Linked DNA regions of Nothobranchius furzeri. The protein of the gene in region 1 interacts with the protein of each later gene in a pairwise test. Links are inferred from orthologs where the notes say so. Each region holds a gene or a part of one and is shown in the gene's direction. Other genes may lie near its edges.

Evidence for each region. The genes of interacting proteins can lie anywhere in the genome.
Region 2: the proteins of filamin-C (region 1) and myoz1a interact in a two-hybrid assay, tested with the Homo sapiens proteins (2 studies listed by BioGRID and IntAct). The link is inferred for Nothobranchius furzeri from reciprocal best matches to the Homo sapiens genes FLNC and MYOZ1.

What each region holds. Positions count from the first base shown.
Region 1 is NC_091744.1:62,143,100-62,146,663, forward strand, and holds part of filamin-C, read left to right. Parts: coding exon 1-57; intron 58-146; coding exon 147-224; intron 225-318; coding exon 319-481; intron 482-1,148; coding exon 1,149-1,349; intron 1,350-1,514; coding exon 1,515-1,631; intron 1,632-2,222; coding exon 2,223-2,360; intron 2,361-2,545; coding exon 2,546-2,672; intron 2,673-2,909; coding exon 2,910-3,046; intron 3,047-3,157; coding exon 3,158-3,351; intron 3,352-3,419; coding exon 3,420-3,533; intron 3,534-3,564.
Region 2 is NC_091752.1:26,534,059-26,538,245, forward strand, and holds the start of myoz1a (myozenin-1a), read left to right. Parts: upstream 1-1,368; 5' UTR 1,369-1,596; intron 1,597-3,201; 5' UTR 3,202-3,203; coding exon 3,204-3,288; intron 3,289-4,187. UniProt on the Homo sapiens protein: Myozenins may serve as intracellular binding proteins involved in linking Z-disk proteins such as alpha-actinin, gamma-filamin, TCAP/telethonin, LDB3/ZASP and localizing calcineurin signaling to the sarcomere.

The sequences.
Region 1 (3,564 bases):
GCCGGCAGCGGCGAAGTCCTGGTGTTCGTGGAGGATCCTGAAGGTCACAAAGAGGAGGCAAGTCATTAATGGGGCCTTCGATTTCTTCTTCACAGGGATTTGCACAGTCTCATGTCTAAATGAACACTCTTCTGCTTATTGCCCAGGCTAAAGTTAAACCCAACAAGGACAAAAACAAAACCTACACTGTCACTTATGTTCCAAAGGTTGAGGGCGTCCACAAGGTAAAACAAACAAACAACCACGATGAATAACATAAACTCTTGGTTTAAAACCCAATTTTTTTTATCTTATATTTTATTTTTATGTCAACTTTAGGTGAAGGTGCTGTTTGCAGGTCAGGACACTGATAAGAGCCCCTACACTGTCAACGTGGCAAAGGTGATGGGTGACCCGAGTAAAGTTCACGCTAGGGGACCGGGTCTGGATCCAACAGGCAACATAGCCAACAAACCCACCTACTTTGACATCTATACAGCTGGTGAGTTGGGATGAAACTTCAGCCACTTTGTTGATCAAAGAGGTTTTCCTATTTCAAAATAAACAAAATTATCTTAGTAGCCCTCACATGGTGTCATAGACTCCAAACATTTAAGGAATGCTCGTTGATATAGGCTTATTTTATCGACATCAGACACACCAAATAGTTTGACTCCTAATTTCCATACCGATATATCCCTCTCATAAAAAAACAGAAAAGCTAAAACATTTTAGGTTACTAATACCACATTTTTCCGATTGTGCATGCTTAAATATAAACCTTTTCTGACAGCTACTTCTTGTTTTTGTTCTAGTATATTGTTAGCTGTTTAGCTACATGTAGCTACGTGCTGTGAGGACAACATACGCTCACTGCACAGGGCAAATTCCTACTTCACAAGTTGTGTCACATGAACTAAAATATCAAAACTTTACCACAGATCTGTCAACTTTTTACATTTCAGGAGAGGAGAAGTAGTTGAAGAGTTTGATATATAACACATGTATGGTGTATAAACGCTGTACCATTAAAATTAAAACCGATATTTTACCATACATTTTGGTGCTGATATCAGCCTATATTAATGGTAGACCGATGATATCAAATATCCATAGACTTATTACAAGTCTGATGCTTAAGAATGAACTTGATTCTGTATTTTGTTCAGGTGCTGGTCATGGTGACATCAGTGTGGTCATCATTGATCCTCAGGGCAAAAAAGACACAGTGGAGCTCATCCTGGAGAATAAGGGTGACAGTGTCTTCCGCTGCACCTACTGTCCTGTGCAGGAAGGCCCTCACAAAATCCACATCCTGTTTGCAGGCCAGGAGATCCCCAAGAGTCCTTACACTGTCAACATTGCAGAGGGTGAGCCATCTGTCTGTGTTGTAAATAACTGTCAGACAAATCTGATTTCCTAGCGTGCTGTTAGTGTCGGGGTGATCTATCCATCACAATCTACAGCCATCTTTATTTTGCCTAGGAACAGCCACCGCTTTCCACTCCATAACCACCCCTATCTGTCATTTCTAGCTCCAGCAGTTGCTCCTCCCACGGGAGCGCCACTGCAAATAGCTCCTCAGTCAGTGCTCACCCCTCCGGGAGTGAAGGGTGGCAAGGGGGCTCCCCCACCAAAACCTGGCCGTCCAAGTTAGTACATATCTGTTAGGAGGAGCTTGTTGGATCATTCCAGTGCCTATCCTTCCTGTGCCAGACCTCTGCACATGCTCCTGTTTGCTTTAAGTTGACGTTCTGGTGGTTAAAATGCCGTGCTTGGTCGCCTGCTCCGCTCTTTTTTACTGCTCGATGGTTTAGTTGTGCTCAGTGAGAGACGAGATGTGATGTGTACATATAGACTGTTCCAGTTTGCTTTCCTGTCAGTTTGTGTTTCTTTTTATCCTTTCTGTTGAATATCTTTGCTTGTGCTCTTTGACACGTTTGTTTTTCATGAAGTTTAAATTTGCATCAGCCAGCACTTAGTTTAAAGCCTGCCCTCAACATTTTCTGACTGACTGAAATGTTGTCGGACGTGCCCTTGTTGCACTGCACTGTGAATTGTTCAGCGTTGTGTATCTGCAGTATGTTCTTCTAAAAGGATTATCTGCAGGTTCTGTCTGGAGTCCTTTGTGAAGTGGATTTAGTTACTAACTTTTCTGTAAAGTTCTGGCTACTCTCTTCTTTTTCATTTCTTTATTTTTGCTCTTTGAAATCAATTTCTCTTTCATACTTTTTTTCTTGTAGCCATAAACCCAAATGCTTGCAGAGCTACTGGCAGAGGGCTACAGCCTAAAGGCGTGAGAGTGAAGGAGGTTGCAGACTTCAAAGTTTTCACCAAAGGAGCTGGCAGCGGTGCACTAAACGTCTCCGTCAAAGGACCGAGTGAGTCAGACAGCTCTCTCTCTCCTCTCTGCATCAGTCCTCGCTCCTTTTTGTACAGTGAAAAATAAAAAGTATTTCCTGTGTTTTAGCTTTTGTGTCAACATGCATTACTTACATATGTATACAAACCAAATAAGCGGGATATGCTGATAAGAATCAGTGCTGACAATATTATTCCTCCTCAGCTGGAGCAGAGGAGCATGTGAAAGTGCAAGATGCAGGAAATGGAGTGTATGAATGTGAATATTACCCACTTAAGGCGGGTAAATACACAGTGAGCATCACCTGGGGAGGCCAGCCAATTCCGCGCAGGTAGGGTCCTCAAATCCCCTCCACAGGGTTCTTGAAATCCTTGCAGGTGCTAGAATTTAATGTGATATTTTATAAGTTTTGGTTATGGCTCAACCTTTTCTCCTATGTAACAAGGAAGTGTAATAATCTTGTTATGAGTGCTTGAAAAAGACTTTTGTGTTGGCAAATGTATAAGAAACCCTGGCTTTAGCTGCTCTTTTTGATATTCATGCCCACTAACATTAATGTGCGTTACAGCCCCTTTGAGGTGGAGGTAGGTGAAGAAGCTGGCGTTCAGAAGGTGAGGGCCTGGGGTCCTGGTCTGAAGACCGGCATGGTGGGAAAATCTGCAGATTTTGTGGTTGAGGCAATCGGCACTGAAGTTGGAACTCTGGGTGAGATTTTTTACAAGAGAAATAAAACAACTGTATTTCTAACCCTTTAACTTCCACACCAGGATAAAGCCTATCAGTTAAAAAGTTAAACGTGATGATTTTGCTCTCCAGGCTTTTCCATCGAAGGCCCATCCCAGGCTAAGATTGAGTGTGACGATAAGGGTGACGGCTCCTGTGATGTGCGCTACTGGCCCACTGAGCCTGGTGACTACGCTGTCCATGTCATCTGTGATGACGAAGACATCAAGGATAGTCCTTTCATGGCTCACATTCTGCCAGCTGTAAATGGTGTCTTCCCTGAGAAAGTAATTTCCAGTTATTTTTGTTTGGAAAAATATTTTTTTTAGCAGCAATCTAAACAGATTTTTCACAGGTAAAAGCCTACGGGCCAGGCTTGCTGCCGACTGGTGTCACTGTAAACAAACCGACTGAATTCACCATTGATGCCCGCATGGCTGGCAAGGGTCATCTCAAGATCTACGCTCAGGTATGAGCTGGACAAGTTTGTAGAGTCTTCA
Region 2 (4,187 bases), on another chromosome or scaffold:
AGAATCAGAATAATAATACTCCTAATCCTAATCATTCACATCACACCTCTAAAACTAACCAGTAAAGCTCTGTAACATTGTCCCAAAGTGAGTACCAGCAAAATGTCCTCACTTTGCTTCTAATGTCCTCAGTTTGCAGGTAAAAAACTTGTTTAGGTCCTCACTTTGATGTACAGGCCGGTGTCGGTACAGGATCTGCTCGGGTGCAGGATCGGCTCGGGGTCCTTCGACTGCCGATGACGTCACACGACTGCAAATCTACTCGGCTTTCACACATACGTTTTGGAAAGACATCAGCAGTTTTGTTAATAAATTCTTGTTGGTTAACACCTAAATGTTTCTTTACAATTGTAATTTGTTAATAAAACACCATATTACCTTTGTTTTGTAAAGAATGTGAAACTGCATAAAACCAGCATCAGACTGACAAAAAATAGAACAGTTCTTATGTCAGCCATATCTGTTTGTATTAATGTGGAGTTCGTCTGTATATTTCCTTACTTGTTATCTAAATACATTATTTGACTCAAAACATTGCTTGGTGTCAATCAATGAAGTTCTTGTATTTTATTTTGCCCCATTTCATCAACATCAAGAGCTTTTGAGGGTCACTGTTTATCATTTGCTTATATTTTACATTTCCTTTAGAAATTCAAACATATTTTCGCCAAAAAGTGTTGATTTTTGGACTACAGGACTACAGCCGCTAAGACTACGACCGCAAATTTGTTCTGACCAATCAAAATCATAACGTGATAACGTAACTTCCGTAAGCTTCATGTTCAGCTAATCAACTACTTTGACGTCATCGCGAGTCGAAGGGCCCCAAGCTGATCCTGTACCGACACCGGTACACACACACACACACACACACACACACACACACACACACACACACACACACACACACACACACACACACACACACACACACTTGTCTCTGTATCCTTGTGTGGACCCTCCATTGACTTCCATTCATTTCTGGGACTCCACTATGCCTTACCCATACTCTAGCCCTAACCTTAACCATAGTGCGCACACACACACACACACACACACACACACACACACACACACACACACACACACACACACACACACACACACACACACACACACACAAACACACACACACTCTCACACACACACACTCACACACACCTCTCCTTGTCTTGCTCTGTGCCCTGAACACACCAAAAGTCCTGTGAGGTTGAGGTTGTCTGATGACTAGGTTCTGTTCCCCTCATTCATTCCTACTAAATATAGGCTTTAGAGCCATCTGTGAGAATGATTTTGTTCCCTTAATATCACCATCAGCAATTTCAGCTGGCCAAGAGAGACTTCTAATGACTTCTGCCTCCTCCTCCTCCTCTTGGTCTTGACACCAAAATTCCTGCCACACACACACCCAACCTTTTGGAAGATCTCCTCTCCGAGGGTTGGGTAGGTTCTGCACTTCCCGGGATCTGAGTCCAGCCATACGTAGGGTCTGAGGCACTGAGGGATTCCTACACCGGTGATCAAGATCAATATCTTCCTCACGGTTTTGGTATTTATAGTTCCTTCTGACCTCGCCCGGATCACAACAGAAAGCCGGTGAGTGGATCTGAACACAGTTGTCAGTCGTTTGATTTCAACTCTGCATACAGCAAAGGTGAACAACATTTGAAGATTTGGCTATTTTATTGCACAATCAGAAATTCACTGGGATGTGCAGATAAAGTGGATGAATCATTAAAAAAATTGTTCAAGCAAAAAAAAAAAAGATAGAAACTGATTAGAAAATTTTTACATCCATGTGTGTGTGTGTGTTTTAAAAACACGTAATGAAAGTGTAAATGTGCTGACTGTTCTTTTTAGTGCTGCAGAGGTTTAATACGGTGTTATCAGACCCTTAGAGGGGGTGGGGGTAAATCTGAGCATACCGTTCTCTTGCCTTGGGATTATTTAACAGAATTAAAACAGCTTCAGAAATCCTCATTATCATCACCCAATTCAGCTCTCAATCCTGTTGACACACGTGTGTAATTAACACTTTTCTGGAGGTGTGTTTTGTGCTCTTAAGAGTCCTTTTGAGCTCATTTGACACTCGAATGACGCCATTGCGTGTCGCTAAAATGTCTTGGCTGGAAGTGGCTTTTAAAAATAGCTGGGGTGGGTTAAGTTACAGCCACTGGATGCGATGTTTTGCCACTTGACTGGGCCTTAAAGACAATCTCCAGATTGAATCTGCAAATATTAGTTGTCAAAGAACAGAAACATATTGATGTAATTCCACAAATTTAAAGATGCATTTCATTGCCAACATGCCAAGCGTGTCAGTAGATGCTGATGTGTTTGAAGCTTGCACATTACTTGACATCTGAGACGCAGGGAAGGATTTCTCCTCATTACTAGACACAAACTGGAGATTATGACGCCTAATTTTAATATAGAGCAGATGAGCAGGATTTGTCTAAACCATCTGTTTATGCTGGCTCTTTCTGTTTACAGATCTCGTGTCAACAAACAAAACTGAAGCAGTGAGCTATAGGTTTCCTTTGACGAAGGCATTTCATCCACGGGGGAATGTGGGGAATCCGGGGGCACCGACACCCCACCCTGAAGATGAAAAATTAGGAGGGTCTGAGGTGTCTGTACATTTAGGTTCAGAGATTAATGCTGGGTGGGAGTGTCGGTGTTGTGGAGTTATCTTGATAGGTTCATGCAAATTAGCTCTGAACTGAAACGAAAACATCCTGCTGGTGTGTTCTATACCACAGACACCATATTTTAGCTCATTTAACACGGTGCAAATTTTTGCAAGCTCATTAAGAAAAAAATAAGTTTTATCCTTTTTCTGGCTTTACATTGCAACTCGTACCTTGTCGTTTTCCATTAATTATCCAGAAGTGTGAAACATTTCTTGAAGTTATTGTTTTAACCCTCCCACTGTCTTTATGAGTGACCCCGCGGGGTGGCAGGGGTGAGGTGGTGCTCACTCCTCAACCCTGCCACATGGACCCAAGGAATAAACCATCAACTCTGCTCAATGGCCAACTTTCCCTGCAGGGTCACACCTATTAGGACAGTGGGAGGGTTAATGTTCTTTAAATTTACAATATTCTCTTTTGATGAGGAAAAAAAACTGAATGCAGGTTTGCTGTTTTGTGTTTCTGTACCTGGGAATAACATTGTATATTTTTCTTCCCGACCCTCCAGTCATGCCTCTGGGAACACCTGCCCCCCTAAACAAGCGGAAAAAGCCCTCCAAGATCATAACTGACCTATCACATATCAGCCAGATTGGTAAGGCAGGAAGTGAAATTATGCAAATATGAAATTACCATTTCTCAGTACAACTCTTTCTTATAAATGCTGCACCGAAATACATGGGTGGAAAGCGATAGGTGCTCAACGACGTCACTTTGTTGTTGAGCATTAGTAGTCCTGGACATAATTTCACACAAAACCTAAAATCCCCCCCCCCCCCCCCCCCCCCCAATTCAAAAATAAGCGCGTAATTGGTATCAAATTGTCTCTTTAAAGTTCACGGACATCATATGTGAAATCCATGGCACATAATAAATAGAATTAGAAGATAAAGTTTTTAGCCACGCTGACTTGCATTCTTTTTTCATTCCTTCGAGGACACATAGCCAGGGAGTAGATGGGCATGACTTAGGCTCCTTATCCCCCATACAACACGTGTGCTTCAAGGCATATGTGGCATTGCCGCCACATTGGGTAGGATCCTCACTTTCCAAACTCACTTGTCAATGCAGGGCGGACAACTATGCCTCTTTTTTTCATGGCCTACAGTTGCAACAACCAGTGCACTATTGTGAACAGATCACGTGGGATTACTTAAGACTTTTTTAGCCTACCTGTTGGGATTTTATATTTTAATGTCCATCCATTTTCTTCTGCTTTTCTGGAGTCGGGTAGCAGGGGCAGTAGCCTAAGGCGAGAGGCCCAGACTTCCCTTTCCCCAGCCACTTGGGCCAGCTCCTCCGGGGAAATCCCAAGGCATTCCCTGGCCAGGTGAGAGACATAGTCCCTCCACCGTGTCCTGGGTCTACCTTTAGGTCTCCTCCCGGTTGGACGTGCCCGGAAAACCTCACCAGGGAGGCGTCCAGGAGGCAACCTGACCAGATGCCCGAGCTACCTCAACTGGCTCCTCTCGATGTGGAGGAACAGCGGGTCTA